Linked DNA regions of Oreochromis niloticus. The protein of the gene in region 2 interacts with the protein of the main gene of each other region in a biochemical or structural test. Links are inferred from orthologs where the notes say so. Each region holds a gene or a part of one and is shown on either strand. Other genes may lie near its edges.

Evidence for each region. The genes of interacting proteins can lie anywhere in the genome.
Region 1: the proteins of grip1 (region 2) and carm1 form a complex in vitro, tested with the Homo sapiens proteins (2 studies listed by BioGRID). The link is inferred for Oreochromis niloticus from reciprocal best matches to the Homo sapiens genes GRIP1 and CARM1.

What each region holds. Positions count from the first base shown.
Region 1 is NC_031969.2:3,522,261-3,529,530, reverse strand, and holds the start of carm1 (histone-arginine methyltransferase CARM1), read right to left. Parts: upstream 3,023-7,270; 5' UTR 2,943-3,022; coding exon 2,801-2,942; intron 1-2,800. Other genes in the region: si:dkey-204f11.64 (guanine nucleotide-binding protein G(I)/G(S)/G(O) subunit gamma-5), read right to left, coding at 5,841-5,966. UniProt on the Homo sapiens protein: Methylates (mono- and asymmetric dimethylation) the guanidino nitrogens of arginyl residues in several proteins involved in DNA packaging, transcription regulation, pre-mRNA splicing, and mRNA stability.
Region 2 is NC_031981.2:19,985,756-19,993,049, reverse strand, and holds the start of grip1 (glutamate receptor-interacting protein 1), read right to left. Parts: upstream 3,007-7,294; 5' UTR 2,443-3,006; coding exon 2,307-2,442; intron 1-2,306. UniProt on the Homo sapiens protein: May play a role as a localized scaffold for the assembly of a multiprotein signaling complex and as mediator of the trafficking of its binding partners at specific subcellular location in neurons.

The DNA.
Region 1 (7,270 bases), on a different chromosome or scaffold from region 2:
GGGTCATTACAGCAACGTGACTGAAATTCCCGTGAAATCATTTGTATGTGACACAAACAAAGCAACAATGGACCACACCGAGGCGATGGTACACCTGCTGCTCAGTCTATAGCTTTGTGTCAGACCACAGTGTTGGTTGTTGTCCAGCCGTTTCCCTCGTTGCCAGGTTTCAAAAATGGCGGTTTGATTTTTGTGAAGGAGTTACTCTCATGATGCCATTGACTGGCCAATCGGTTGACCCCGGCCGTGCAGGTAGTTGAAAGACAAAAAAAGTAACTGCTACCCAATGTAAAAGTCGAGCCATGTAGGTACTAGTGGAAAAAGGCTACATGTTTTACAGTGACAGCAATTTCAATAAGGCGGCCTCTGTTAAATAAACATATGAAGGAGCTCAAGTTCTATAACTTTCACACTGTCCTGCTAACATTTCTCCACTGTTCCCTTCATCAATTCAGTGAAAGAAATGAGCATTCTGTTCTGACAATATCTGGAACTCGCACAAAATGATTGTGTGCAGCTGTCGCCTGTGAGCAGAATTAACATTGCTTAGTTTTCACTAAGCTGCTTCCTCTCTAGGTCTCCTCTTACTGTCCACAGTGAGACTGCACCTGCTCAGCTGTGATGAGTGTGATGATTGTTTATGGGGCTTTACGTCATGGATACATGAACCTGACTGGACAGGAAATGACATCACTGCATGGTGAGCCAGTCAGACTACACATCCAGTGTCTATATCAATATCTATCTATCTAGCTATATATTTTTTTTTCTCATCTATATGGACTTTCAGACTAGAATGAAAGTTAAAGGTTTCTAATTATGACATTTTAAATATATCATTTGAGACAGTAGTCTAAAAAAGTACAATATTCTTATGTATTTCAGTGAAGCATGAACATTCGACACAGACCTTCTCTCCCTTTAAAACATCTTACAGGGATTGTAAGGCTTACCACAGCACAAGAAACTTCACTAACAAGTCCTCTGAAAAGTCTTTGGTTGTTCCTGTGTAATGGTGCATTCATGTGGTGCTAAAATTACAGGGAAAAATCTGCTTCACATCTCCAAAAACTGGCATAAATTCCTACTTAAGTCCAAAAAAAAAACCCCATCTTAGTAAGATTGTGGGAGTTTTGGTACAGGAGCTCCCGAGCTGTTACACACAAAGAGACAACAGATGTTTTATTAATGGTGCTAATTTGTGTATCAAATATCATTTTTCTAACAATTAAGTTGTTATATCTCATTAGGCTTTTTCCATTATTTACTAATATTTATTATTTCCACGTAGTGACCTGAATTAGTTATAAGAGTTTGTTTTTGTAACGCTTTCCAAGTCAAAGACAAACAAAGACAACATCTTTGTTACATCGAGTGCTTTACACTTAATCTTAAATCATGTGAACCCAACGAAGAGGGCAGAAGACTTCACCATACAGGAAATCCAAGTATCGGAGGAGCACATGAATGCAGGGTCTCCAGCAGAGACGAGCCTGCTGGAGAGGATTGGTAAAGCACCCTTCTTTCCAACCAAACCCCCAGATGTCGTTCTTTCAAAGCTGGTAGACTTCAGACCTGGCCCATTAGTAATGTAAGTGACATCACTTGTGGAAATTTACTAGACTACACACAGCTCCGGAAAGGTCTGCGTTACCCACACAGCAATACTGCCCAACAATTTGAAACAGACTGTGTAAAATCAATGACATAAGTTACTTGCGGCAAACCTCGTTAGTTAGTATTACTTGAGTCCGCATGCAGGCGTGGGGGGATTCTCTGAAAAGCATTTTTAGAAGAAAGAAGCTCTACGGTCTGATATTATACACTGAAACCTGGACGCAGAGTTGTGTTTCTCTTGAACTTGAGCATGTGAAGCAGAAGGCGAGTCCAGCGCAGCCGTTTCTTTTCAGCGGGACATCCCATTCAATAGAAAAGCCGCGGAGGAGTGGAGCGGGTCCGCTGCTGGCTCCACACGGGAGGGAAGGAGGCGGCGGGACCCGGCTATTGTTCCAGCGAGAACAAAGATAAACGCATAAGTAATGAGGGCCCGGTTTCGTCTTGGCACCTTAAATATTACGAACTTATACCAGCACACAGAGTGCAAGTTTTACAAGGGAACGTGCTGATGGCTAAAATAAAGAGCAGCGATGACGGCGAGTCGCCCCAAGGATTACAGCACACCGTAGCGGGTCAGGAGTGATGCCCTCTGTTCTGGGCTCCAAAACAATCGGGGAAGCTAGTCCACGAGCTAAACACTCGAACCCGTCCATCGGGTGTCTCTGGACAACACAAAGTCTATTCGTTTACATAGGAATATATTGAACATATTTGTGAGACAAAATACACGTTGATGAGACATGAGGGAGAAAAACAGGGAGAAAACACAAAAAGCAAACGTGCGGGACGTTGGCGCATCACCGCTGAGGCCAGGCTAGTGGCATTGTTTAACTAGCATTAAAGTACACATTACTTAGCTACCCTGCTTACTGATGCGCTTAAGCTACGTTGTATGTGTTGCGTTATACGTTTCGCGTGGTCTTCAAAGCACTGAACTCGTGCGAATGGCGAGAGCTTAAAGTTAGCAACATTAAAACACCTACGGGGCGGTGATAAAACTGAGTTTTAAGAGCTTCCTCGTGACAAGCAGGAGGTGGCGACGTGGTCTCTCAAGATGCGTTAGCTTCTCGGCTACTAACGCTGGCAGATTAGCCTGTAAGCATTAACGCTGCAATAGCATTAGCGGCGCGGCAGTTGAGTCAGGCCGACCATCTGCGGCAACTGCGGAAAAGGGTCAACTCACCATTGGAGAGATTGAGGAGGGCAGCATCTTGTGATGTCTTGACTTCTAACCGCAGCGGCTGCTGCTCCGAGTGTCGCTGTATATCTCCGTTCGCGTCTCCAATGGAGAGAAGCCGCACGCCACGGAATACCGAGACCGCCATCTTCGCTCTGGAAGTAGAGACAGATCTGTGGCGCTCACATCCAACCAAGCACTGCTCTCTGCTGGAGGCACACTGGGCACCAACGTGATAAGCCTTTGCAACAGTGCCACCTGGCGGCTAAAAATGGGTATTGCGTAAACACCATCGCGCAATACGGCATGTGAAATAAAATTTTAACATGGAGATTAAAATATATCTAACATTGACAATTTTTTAAACACTTAAAATCCAAACGAAAACTGTACTTCTGCCCGAAACCCACAGGTGGCTATTTGTTTTTAGGGTCTCTTTATCGCCATGTTACACAAGAGCAAACACAGCATCTCACCCCCTCCCCTAAGCATCGTCACCACCTGCACCCCCCTCTCACTCACACACAGACACACGCCGTAATAGTAAAAAAGCCTTTGATCAGCACCACAGAGATTAACCACAGACAGTAACTCATTTTTCTAGCTGAGGTTATAAACTTACCAGCTTCTTCAACTAGACTAGCACAAGCTCAACACAGATTCAGCCCTACTAAAATAACATAAAGACAACTGTAATGTCTGTAAGCAGGCAACAGGGAGAAGCTTATTACCTGCAGGTGCTCTCCGACTGCATGGGGTCAGCGCACCACAAAACCACTCAGAGAATCACTTCTAGTGGACCAGCTTCTAGATATATTTATGTGAGTGCATATTTTCAAAATATAAGTGGTAACAGTGTTTCATAATCAAATAACCCATCAGAAATTTTTTGCTTGTTTGTTTTTTGGCTTTGCTCGAGACCAAAGTCCTGGCCTTGTACTTTATTTGAGCATCACTTTTTTGCTTTGGCTTTCTAAACATGATGAACTCCCTGAAAAACAAATTGTTGCATTGTTGAGTTTAACCAATTCATGGGTATTTTCCAAAAATGACCAAGAGCAGGGGCAGGAATTACAAGTAATATACGTATTTCCCAGCATGCATCAGCACTGCAGCATTAACACTTCTCAGAAAAGGCACTTATTTTTAATCAATGGAGCATAAACTGATTGCTCGAACATCTGATATGCAGATTCTCAAGAAGAGCCTGCATCAAGAAAAATAAAGTTGGACTTTAGTTCAAAAGATAGAAGCGCAGCTTAAACATACAGTGGAACTCTTACAATCTGCTCAACTTGAATGTAAAGAAGGGAATATTTACATGTTGCAAACATGAAGGTACTCATGTGTTATCTTGATGCATGCTCAATAATCCAGGTAAGTAAAACCCAGAGAGTTGATTCAGCTCATCTGGGCATGTTTTCAGTGAGAGAAACGTGTCATCACTCATCCGAGTTTCAGCTTACTGCAGGTTTCCCCAACCTTCTAAGCACTGCAGATGCACAGTGAGTGAAACAGACATCACAGGCATTGAGTACTATTTATGATAGTGATTCATTACGCTTGCGTCCACCTCCCCATTTCCACGATAGCCGTTCGCTTTTCACATCCTAAACACTGACCGCTACATTATTAATAATGTATAAAAACAGTACATCTTCATTTTTTGAAGATATCTTTTGTACATTTTGTATTACATTTTTAAAAAACGAAGAAAGCAAACAGAAAAAAACAAAGCAGATACAGATTGTTAGGGTAATAATTTAATGTGATACATGCATAGTAACAATTACATGACAGTGCAAGCAACAGTAGGTGTAAAAAACACAAGGGCCCATATCTGGCACATTTCATTACACTGTAAATAAAGTCAATGTAAAACATTTGCTGTTCTATATGTTATGATATGAATTCAAATACATTTTAGAGAAAGCTTCCTGACACAAACTGATTGCTGGTCATTTGTGTAGTCCGCTCCGTGTCCAATGAGCTTCATTTATGCTCAGTTAGTTCCTTCATATCTGAATTAACTCATGGTCATTTTCAGTGGTAAAAATCGATGATTACAGACATTTCAGTCAGCTTCTGACTGATGATGGGAATACATGCGTCACACTCAGTTGTTTAGAAATGGAGTTATATTGAATGTTTTCATATAGTGCTTAAAAGAGTTGACAAAAATTAATATATAAATAAAAAAATAAAGATTAAAACGATTGTTTTACACCTGTTCTGGACACAGACTAAAGATAAATGTAGTCACTGTGATGTTGCTCAGTGGGTTTGTTAGTTTATGAGAAACAGAAGTTATATTTGGATGAGAGTGTGCCAAGTTATCTACTAACACTAGCAGTTAGCTGCTCGTAGTGTTAAGAAACATAAAAAATGTTTGAATAGTCTGAGTAAACGTTTATTTGTTTATTTCTGTTTTAAATCAAACTAAATGACATTTGGAGCCAAGTGGCCATTAGAGGAACTTCTGTTTCTTAATTTTTAAAGTGTAGAGGTTGCTGCTTGATTCTGGGAAACATCTATAAATGGGAATAATCTCCTATGGTTTGTATTTTACAATGTAATTTTCATGGGAATTGTTCTAGTCATGTTGTTTTCAGCTGTGTGAGTTTTCATCCGCTTCAATTCAGTTGTATTTTATTTATATAGTGACAAATACAATGGCACATCCACTGATAATGACTGTTAAAAATGTTATTCCACAGGTCTTCAAAACAGAAATGCAGAAAGCAGAAACACACATATAATTAAAATAAGATTGGCTAAATGTTTCACCTGAAATCATTATAATTTAATCAATTCCTTCACTGACTAGGCTCTGGTCTTCCTTATCTTCAACAGTGGTGCCGCACATGACAGAAATCCACATTAGAACAATGAGGAGTCTGCCTGAATATCATGCACTCTACAGCTCTACAAAGAGAACAAGTAGATTTAGCTTAGAGGGATACATCTTGTGCTCTAATAAATAACAAGCTTGTTTAGCGTTTCCAAAATTAAAAGAGCACAAATATATATATAAAAAGCTCATACCTCAGAGGAGGACACATGACTTGGGAGGCCTGAAAGGATTATCACTGGAGGGCACCCCGGTGAGGAGAGGGTCTTTGTGGGCATTTTGCAAACAGAAGTTTTTCAGTTCTGCAGCAGCCTGAGAAACCTGAAAGCAAGTGTTAGTGTTAACTAATATTGTTACAATTACCCTAACTAAAAGAAGAGTCCTACAATAATTCGATGTGGAGTTTTGGTTGTTTTGTTTTGTTGGCATGTCCCAAATCACACAGTAAACACAGTGGAGGCCATGTCATAGTCTGGGGCTGGATTTCATCTAATTGTGTTGAGAGTCGTATCAAAACTAACAGAATTATGGACACAGAAAAGTAACATCAGACTTTGATTTATTATGTAGTACCATTTGTAAAGTGACTGATCAATGAGCCCAAACACACTGTCAACGTAGTAAAAGGATAGCTGAATAAAACACACACACTGAAGCTATGTGGGATCATCCTGACAGAGAATGGAATAAAAACCAGCAAACATCCAAAGAAGAACTGTTTTTAGAAAATCTTGGAGAACTTTTCCTGAAGATTACTAATAAAAAAAAAAGTACAGACTATGCTGAAGAATAAATGTGATCACATAAAATATTGATTTTGAAGCTTGTCAGAATTTTACAAACTCTGATTTTGCATTATATAAAGGTAAAGTCCTAGCCAAATATAAATAAGTGAGAAGTGGCTAAGGGCTTCTGCACAGTACTGTACATTGCTGACAAGTCAATAGACATGGAATTGTCATTTCCTTTTCCAATAAATAGGTATTGCACACTTTACTAAGCATACCTGTTCAACTGCTTGTTAATGCAAATATCTAATCAGCCAATCACATGGCACCTCAAGTGCCATGTGATTGCAAAAAGCATGTGTAATGCACTTTGGATGTTACACTTTGTGATTTTCCCCACATTTGTTTTGCTTATCAAAATATTTAAAGTAAAAAAACAATGATGCCAGTTTCCATTGCATGAGCTTGAAAATCATCCGCAAGTTGTTTCTGAGGTCCTGTTTCATGTGGATTTCCTGTGGGCCCCTCAGCCTCGTGCTTGGTCCCCAATACCCCAGTTTAACACAGAAACCATAAGAAAACGTTACATATGGCAAAACTCACAAAACTAACATCAGGAATTAAATTCTTCTGTGTGTGTTTTGGTTTTCGGACTGTAAGAAATTACAAGAACTTGTCAGCTGAATGAAACTGTTGTGTGATTTTTTTTTAATTCACCAAACACAGACACACTTGAAACTGGTCTGACTTCTGTTCTAAAATAAGTAGCCACCCAACAATCAGACCAGTCACGCAGCACCACAATTAACAAAGCTGCCACTGTGCTTGCTCCTACAGAAAAGTCTGTTTTGCTACCATTTCCACTGCACACCAAGAAATGACACTGTGAATGGCTTT
Region 2 (7,294 bases):
CTGTAGCTCTGCTCTAAAAGAACGTACGTACCTGGCCCCGCCTACTATCCTCGGAAACGTAAAATGATTGGCTAGAATTGGCTCAGGAAAAAAAAAGCACCGAAATAACGCACCGAAATAAAGCATCGAAATAAAGCATCGAAATGTGCGCTGCTTTTCGGTCTGGTTACTACCGTTTATGTCAGAACCGGTGCCATGACACCGGTACCCATCCCTACCTGTGAGGCTGTAAACAAACCTGCATCTCCACCACCAGACTGTAAACACACCAAACTTACAGTTTAACAAATCAAAAATCAAACTGTCTATCACAATATGTATTCATTCAGTCATAAACAGCATGAAATGGAGGGGATGGGTTGCAAAGCAACTTGCAGATGCACAACAGCTGTAGACAGGCCAAAGCAGCTTATATGGCTGCTAATAAGACGTCTAGAAGAACACCAGCAACGTCAGAAGCAGGCTCCATTTATCCACAAACATAGAGGAAGAGTCTGGAGTGTGGTTAACTAGTCGATCTCAGTAGATCCACCAACATTAGCTTTGTTGTTGCTGCTGATGCTCTATAAAAGTGGCCGAGCATAAAATAAGTGTAAAAGGAACCCCCAGATATGGGTCACAAAAAGACAAATTATATCTAAATTTAATTAAAGATCAGATAATTAAAGTGGAAGTGTGAGCGCCTGGAGCTAAACACATTATTCACGACTTAGTGTATCACGATCTGCTCCTGACGGGGGAGGAAATCTCAACTGGTCATATTTGGAGCAAAAGTTTCGTAGGTTCAGCCAAGAACATGGAACAAAAAAGGAGTAGAAACTACCGCAGGACCCCAAAGAAGGACTGAAGCGTGCAGACTAGAACAACACAAGACGTTAAACCTGGAATTAGTGTGTGTTTTCCCACATTGTTCACATTCCTTCCTGCAATAAACATCCTGCCCTGTTATTACCCACAAACCACCTGGTTCATGTCATCTGAATACCTGAGTGAGCGTGTGTGTACTGTAACTGAGCAGCTTCACTAACGACCTTCATCTATAATACAAGACCTTAAACACACACACACACACACACACACACACACACACAGTGAGAAGAGCAGTATTTCCATCACTTCACAGGACTAACCTCAAAGTCTTCACCCTGAACTTTACTCCATCACTTTTAAGAGGACTCAAACTTCTACACTGAACCAAGGTGAGTCTTCACAGTAAAAAAGCAAAAACATACACACAGATAAAACTACTATCACAAAAATACACACACTCACACACACCCTGCTAACCCTGAAATTTGTTCCTTCATCTTACAGGTCAAGCTTTGTCTTCATGAGGACGTCGAGTTAGCGCAGTATGAGAATATAAAGACATGCGTGTCCCCACAGGACATTTAATTCAAACTTCAAAGTCTTCATCTCCTCTTGGGAACTCATTTTAGTTCCCCCAAATTGGACTAGCTCTAAGTTCCAAGTCTTCAACCTCAAATTTTCTCGATTACGGTGGTTTTCCCTTCATAGGGATCGATCTTTATTTAGACTCATTTTTTGTTCCCATAAGGAAGTCAAGTCCCTACAGTGTAAGAAAGCAAACACAAATACGTCAAACCAATTACAATAAGACACGCCTACAGCCTTTTTTCCCCCATTATATCATTACTATATATAGGACTCGCTTTTTGTCCACATGTGGTCCACGTAGCCCATAAATACAAGACCTAACACTCTAAATATTCCCACCACTTTAAAGGTCTCGAGCCAACCCTGAAAGTCTTCACCCTGAAATCTGCTCCCTCACCTTACGGGGGAGGTGGAGTGCAAGAAAGTACAAGCCAGTGTCCCAGGAAACAAATTAAAATAGCACACACCCATGGAGTCGTATTTCCATCGCTTCAGAGGACTTACGTTTGTCCCCTGAAGGAAGTTGAGACCCCACATTACAGAAAAATTAGTGCGCATACGTCCCCCCAAAAACACACAAACTAAAAGACATCACACAACTCATTGGATTTCTTTCACTTTTGAGGAGTCAAGCTACCTGTAACATCCTCGTCCCTGAAATTACGGCAATTTTGTTCTCTTGAGGAGGTCCCCACAGAGCACTAAAGTAAATACACTCGAGTCCCCACAATACATTTAAAACGGCGCACACCAACACACTCTGGGCCACTTTAAGTGCCATAATCTGTTGATAAGCCTCTCTCTCTCTCTCTCTCTGCATCATCTCTCTACCTCGCTTGCTCTACAGTAGGACAATAAAACAAAGCCTCTCTCTCTTTCTCCATTGTTTCTTTATGGGACTCACTCACTCAGTAGGTGTGTGTTGTACTTGCTGGTGTAGTAGTAAACGTCTTCGTAGCCTTCCTGGTAATCATCATCCGCCCGGTACCTCCTCCCTCGCCTCCTCCTGCTCAGCAGACGTAGCAGGGCTAGGAACCGCTCCATCCCCACCACCTCCACCTCCACCACAATCACACCGGGTCCAAACTGGGCCGGGCTAAGCTGCAAGCTAACAGCAAGGCCAATAACGGTGAGGGCTAAGCGTTTATTCCACACAGAGAGATAGAGAGAGTGAGATCAGGTTTCCTCCTCCTCGCCTCCTCTTTCTGCTGCGCACACACACACACGCACACACTTCTGGATATCACACACACACACGCATTAGCGCACATGTAACACACACACACACACACTCCCTCACACACTCCCTCACTCGCTCGTTCTTTGTATTCTCTCCTCTATCTGCAGCCTCCCTCTCCTCTGTTCCCGTCTTCTTTCGGCTGTTGGTGCATCTAGCCGGGTTCAGCCAATCACAGAGCTCGCAGCTCACAAACACACACACACACACACACACACACTTTGCTCGCTTGCTGCTCTCGCCCTCTAACACACCACTCCTCCATCTCAGCCCTTCATCCTGCACTTCCTTTCCTTCATTAGATCCTTCCTTCCTTCGTTATCTTGTGCCTCTATTTCTTTCAATCCTTCCTCTTCTTTCTCTTCCTGTCTTCACATTTCCCTTCCTCTCCTCCTCTTCCTCCTCATTCATACACTTCATTCCAGTGTGGGGGGAGGGGAGCCGGTGAGTGAATTCCTCAGAGTCTTCTGTAATTGTACCAAGAGGAGGAGAAAGGAGGAGAGAGGAGAGGGGTGGAAACATGTGCAGGTAGCTGGTGGAAAACTGGGATAAAACCAGATTTCAGGAACTGAAAACCAGGATTATCCTATCAGTATCCAGGTCCTGTTTGGGGTTTGGGAGAGCACTAGTGTAGTTTTACACTCGATTCAGGAAACAAATGAAGACACAAACCACAGACAAAAGACGTGAAACCCGGATGAACATCAACAAAGAGCTCTCAGGTTCCATTTACCTCAGAGACAAGTGAACAACATCTGCAGTCACCTTTGGAGCACATCTGGCTGACAACATCAACCCAGGGACAGCCGCACGTCCACCTTACATGATTACTGACCTTTTAGGCCACATCTGGCCCTGACAACCTTTGCCATAACCGAGATGAATCCCAGCCCCTTACTTTTTGCCTCATCTAGTTATTGACAACCGTTCCAGTTGCAGTCCAAAGCCTAGCTTGTGACATCTGGGCAACATCTGGCCCGAACAACTCTTGCTGTACATCACAACCATACTGGCTTGTGACTTTTGAGCCACGTCTGGCATCAACTCATAGACAGCTCCAAGTACAATTTATAGGTTTAGTGGCATTTGAGGAACATCTGGCTCATCCAACCTTTTACATAATTGACATCTGGATCACATCTGGCTCATCCAGCCCTTGCTGTAACCCATGTAAAGCTCAGCTCGTGACTTTTGGGCCTCATCCGGTATCAACTCAAAAACAGCTGCCAGTACACACATTCAAACACACATTCGGTGGTATTCGAGGAACATCTGGCCCTGACAACCTCTGCTGTAACCCACCTCAATATCAGTTTGTGACTTTTGGGTCACATCTCAGGCATTACAGCTAAGACTGTATTTTTTCCCCATTTAAACTACATTTACAGCACAAAGAAAGAACTTGTAAATAGATCATATTGTATATATACTGTAAACTTGCAACATGTTTGTCAGGTTAGTGAATAACTGTGTTACATAATCATAATTTTTTGGAACTTTTGGTTTCAAGCCCTTACACTTTTCCTGCTTACATCACACAAAGAACTGATCACTCCATTGCTGCCTCGTATACATTACGCCGTGAAAAGCCCGACTGTAACGAGGTAATCAGTGTTATTCACCTTCAGTGTTTTGAACACCTGATCAGTGTATAATCCCTGCAGGTGTTCTTGGTCAGCCACCCAGAGTCTACACAACTTCCACAGAGACCTGAAGTCCTGACCTCACGCTTCCTGCATCAAGAGGTCTGGTCAGGATAATAAATGGAGACACTTGTGCTAAAGCAAGGACTAAACAACGCTGAAAACAGGCTCCACTCTGAGTCAGTGGATCTCATCTGCTGAGGTAAGCCTGCTGCATGATGGCAGCATCCTCTGGTACCTGAGTTCATCTTAAACAAGGCTTCACAATAACACGGGGACTAAAGATCCTAAAAAACCTTCAGGATCATATCCAGCTGCTGACAACATCTGAGAGATTTTTTATTAAAGAATAAAAAAATAGCCAACTTTTTCTTTTACCCTCATTTCCATTTATTTTATATTCATGCAATAATCGGTTTTTGTCTTTTGCTACGCTGCTGCCAGATGTTTAGAATTCATCATACGATATACGCTGTCATTTTACTCCACCTTATTTATTGATTAATAAAAATGTTTAAATCACAATGACAAACACAGAGAAGATCCAAAAAATAAAATAAAAACATGATCATGATCAAAAATGATATATGAAAACACTGACAAAATGAAACCTATAAAGTAAATAATAAATTATTGAAAAATTATACTTTCAGCAATGATGAATAAAGTGTGCAAAAAAATAGGTAACAATATTTGGCATTAGTTAAAAAACTAATGAACTAATGAATATATTAATAAATAAGCTATGTTACACAAAATACAGTAAAAAAATAAAAACAGAAAACAATAACAAAATTAATAATAGAAATAAGTGTAATAATACCAAGTAAAAATTAAATAAAGGTTTTTAAAATAGAAAAAAAAAAACTGGAAAAAGAGGAGGAGTATTTTTAAAAAAAATAAGGCTAAATAAATCCTGGCAGTCTTACACACCGCCTATGGTCCTACTCCAAACTGCAGGAAATCTTGTGAACTGGGATTGATCTCAGCGGGCGTATCGTCTACCAAAATCTTAAACCCCAAAATAAACATCTGAGAAAATTGTAATGTTCTGATTTTCCGTGCCAGGAAAAATAAAAAAATATAATGTACAACATACAACCTCCGGGTGGCACACAATAACGCTGGAACATGTCCCAGTGGACTTCATGATCTGCTCGGGTCAAACGTTTAGCCAGATGTGTGGTTTCTTTCTTGAATATGTTGACGTGAATGTGAATGACAGCTTTTGTTGTTTTTGCATAAGACTCTGAGCAACGGTCATGACATGATAACTGATTACAAGGATGGAGGTATGAAAAGATCCACGCTGAGCACAGTTATTACTGTTACTGTTAGTTCTTTTTGTTTATGTTTGGCTGTTAACAAGTAAAAAACAATAATAATAAATAACACAATTAAGTAAAAGTAAATCTAAATATCTAATGATCTAGAAAAAAATAATACAATAGAAGCTATAGGGAAAAATAATCAGTACAAGAAAAATAAAAGCATAAAGGTGTTTATATAGACCAAACTATATTGATGTTTATTGGGGGAAATCATCACGACATTTATCAATAATGAAAAGAATCTGGCCTAGTTTTAAAAGCAGCTTTACAGATGTTGCTATTTTTGGTTTTTAACAGCTACACACTCGAGTACAACCCTCAAGTATTTGAGTAAATGTGATTCAGCTTCAGAAATTCTGCTGAAGGCAGCACACAGCGAAGGACAGACTGCTGTGAAATCATAATAAAATATTTCTACAGTTTAAATTCCTTTTTTTTAATCCGTTTGCCAAACTGTGGATTGGAGGGAAGCTTGCCGCTCGTCCAACTGGGTCCCAGTCGGCCCTGTTGGCTCAGGAAATGACAAACTGGAGGGGGGCAGCAGATTGTGATCAGAGGGTATTTTAATCATGCACATAAGGAGGAGATTAACCAGGTTACTGAGTGTTTGAGGGTCCTGAAAACGATCAGAGCGGGGACAGACTTCACGCCAGAATTCGGCCGTCAGGCTCTGGGACTGTTCTTAAGCCAACAGTATGACGGCTCGCGGCGGCATAAGATTTCTACAGAAAGAGAGGGGAAACCCAGAATATCACCAGAGATGAGTTTAGACACAGGTGAGCTGGTCCGGGCAGGTAAATCTGGACCTTTCCTCTCTGTGTGGCCATCACACTCAGCCCCTCTCCAATGTGACCTTTGACCTCTGACACACAGTGACTGACAGCTGGTCGCCAGGGTGTTCAGTGACAGTCAGGAAGCCATGTCTCTGAGCTGTGAGTGCTGACCTTTGACCCCTGTCATGTCCTGACAGCTCATGTTTCCCACGCTGCGCTGAAGCCTGACAGGCACAAAACTGCTGATGGAAAAATGACACACACACACACACACACACACACACACACACACACACTCTCATAGTAAATGTATTGATTACTGGATCAGCACCGGCAGTGAAGGAGAAGCTTCAGATTTTGTGGATCCTGCTGCACTGACACCTTTTCTCGTCTGATAAACACATTTTGAAGCTGTCGGCAGAATAAAATCAGCACTCTGCTTTCATCCAGGTGAGAATGAAGTCATGTTTTTTTTTTGTTCCTCTTTCAAAGTGACGTTTACACCTGGAAGGACGATCTGCTGCAACAATCTCCAAACAGCGTCACGTCTTAGACTGTGCACGTGATTTATTTTCCTTTTACAGTATAAGAAACAAATCTAAGGCACATGACTTAAAGCTTCAGAACACAACTGCAGACCACGCATGAACCGAGCAGCTGGATCTGCTTTCATTTCTAAGAATTTTTCCTATTTCCATCTGATGCGCGTTTGTGAAGATCGGATAATTTGACTCCTAATGTCTGATCTCACAGCGACTCTAAGACTGAATCAGTTGCAGCTCAGATCTGCTAAATGTTATAGATGCAAACCTGTCTGTAACAGCCTCTCTGCTGGGTTTAACTCAGCATGTTGTCGTCTAGTCCAGGAGATGTTTAAAGGTTGCTGCGCTCGCTCGTTGCATGCAGAAAACT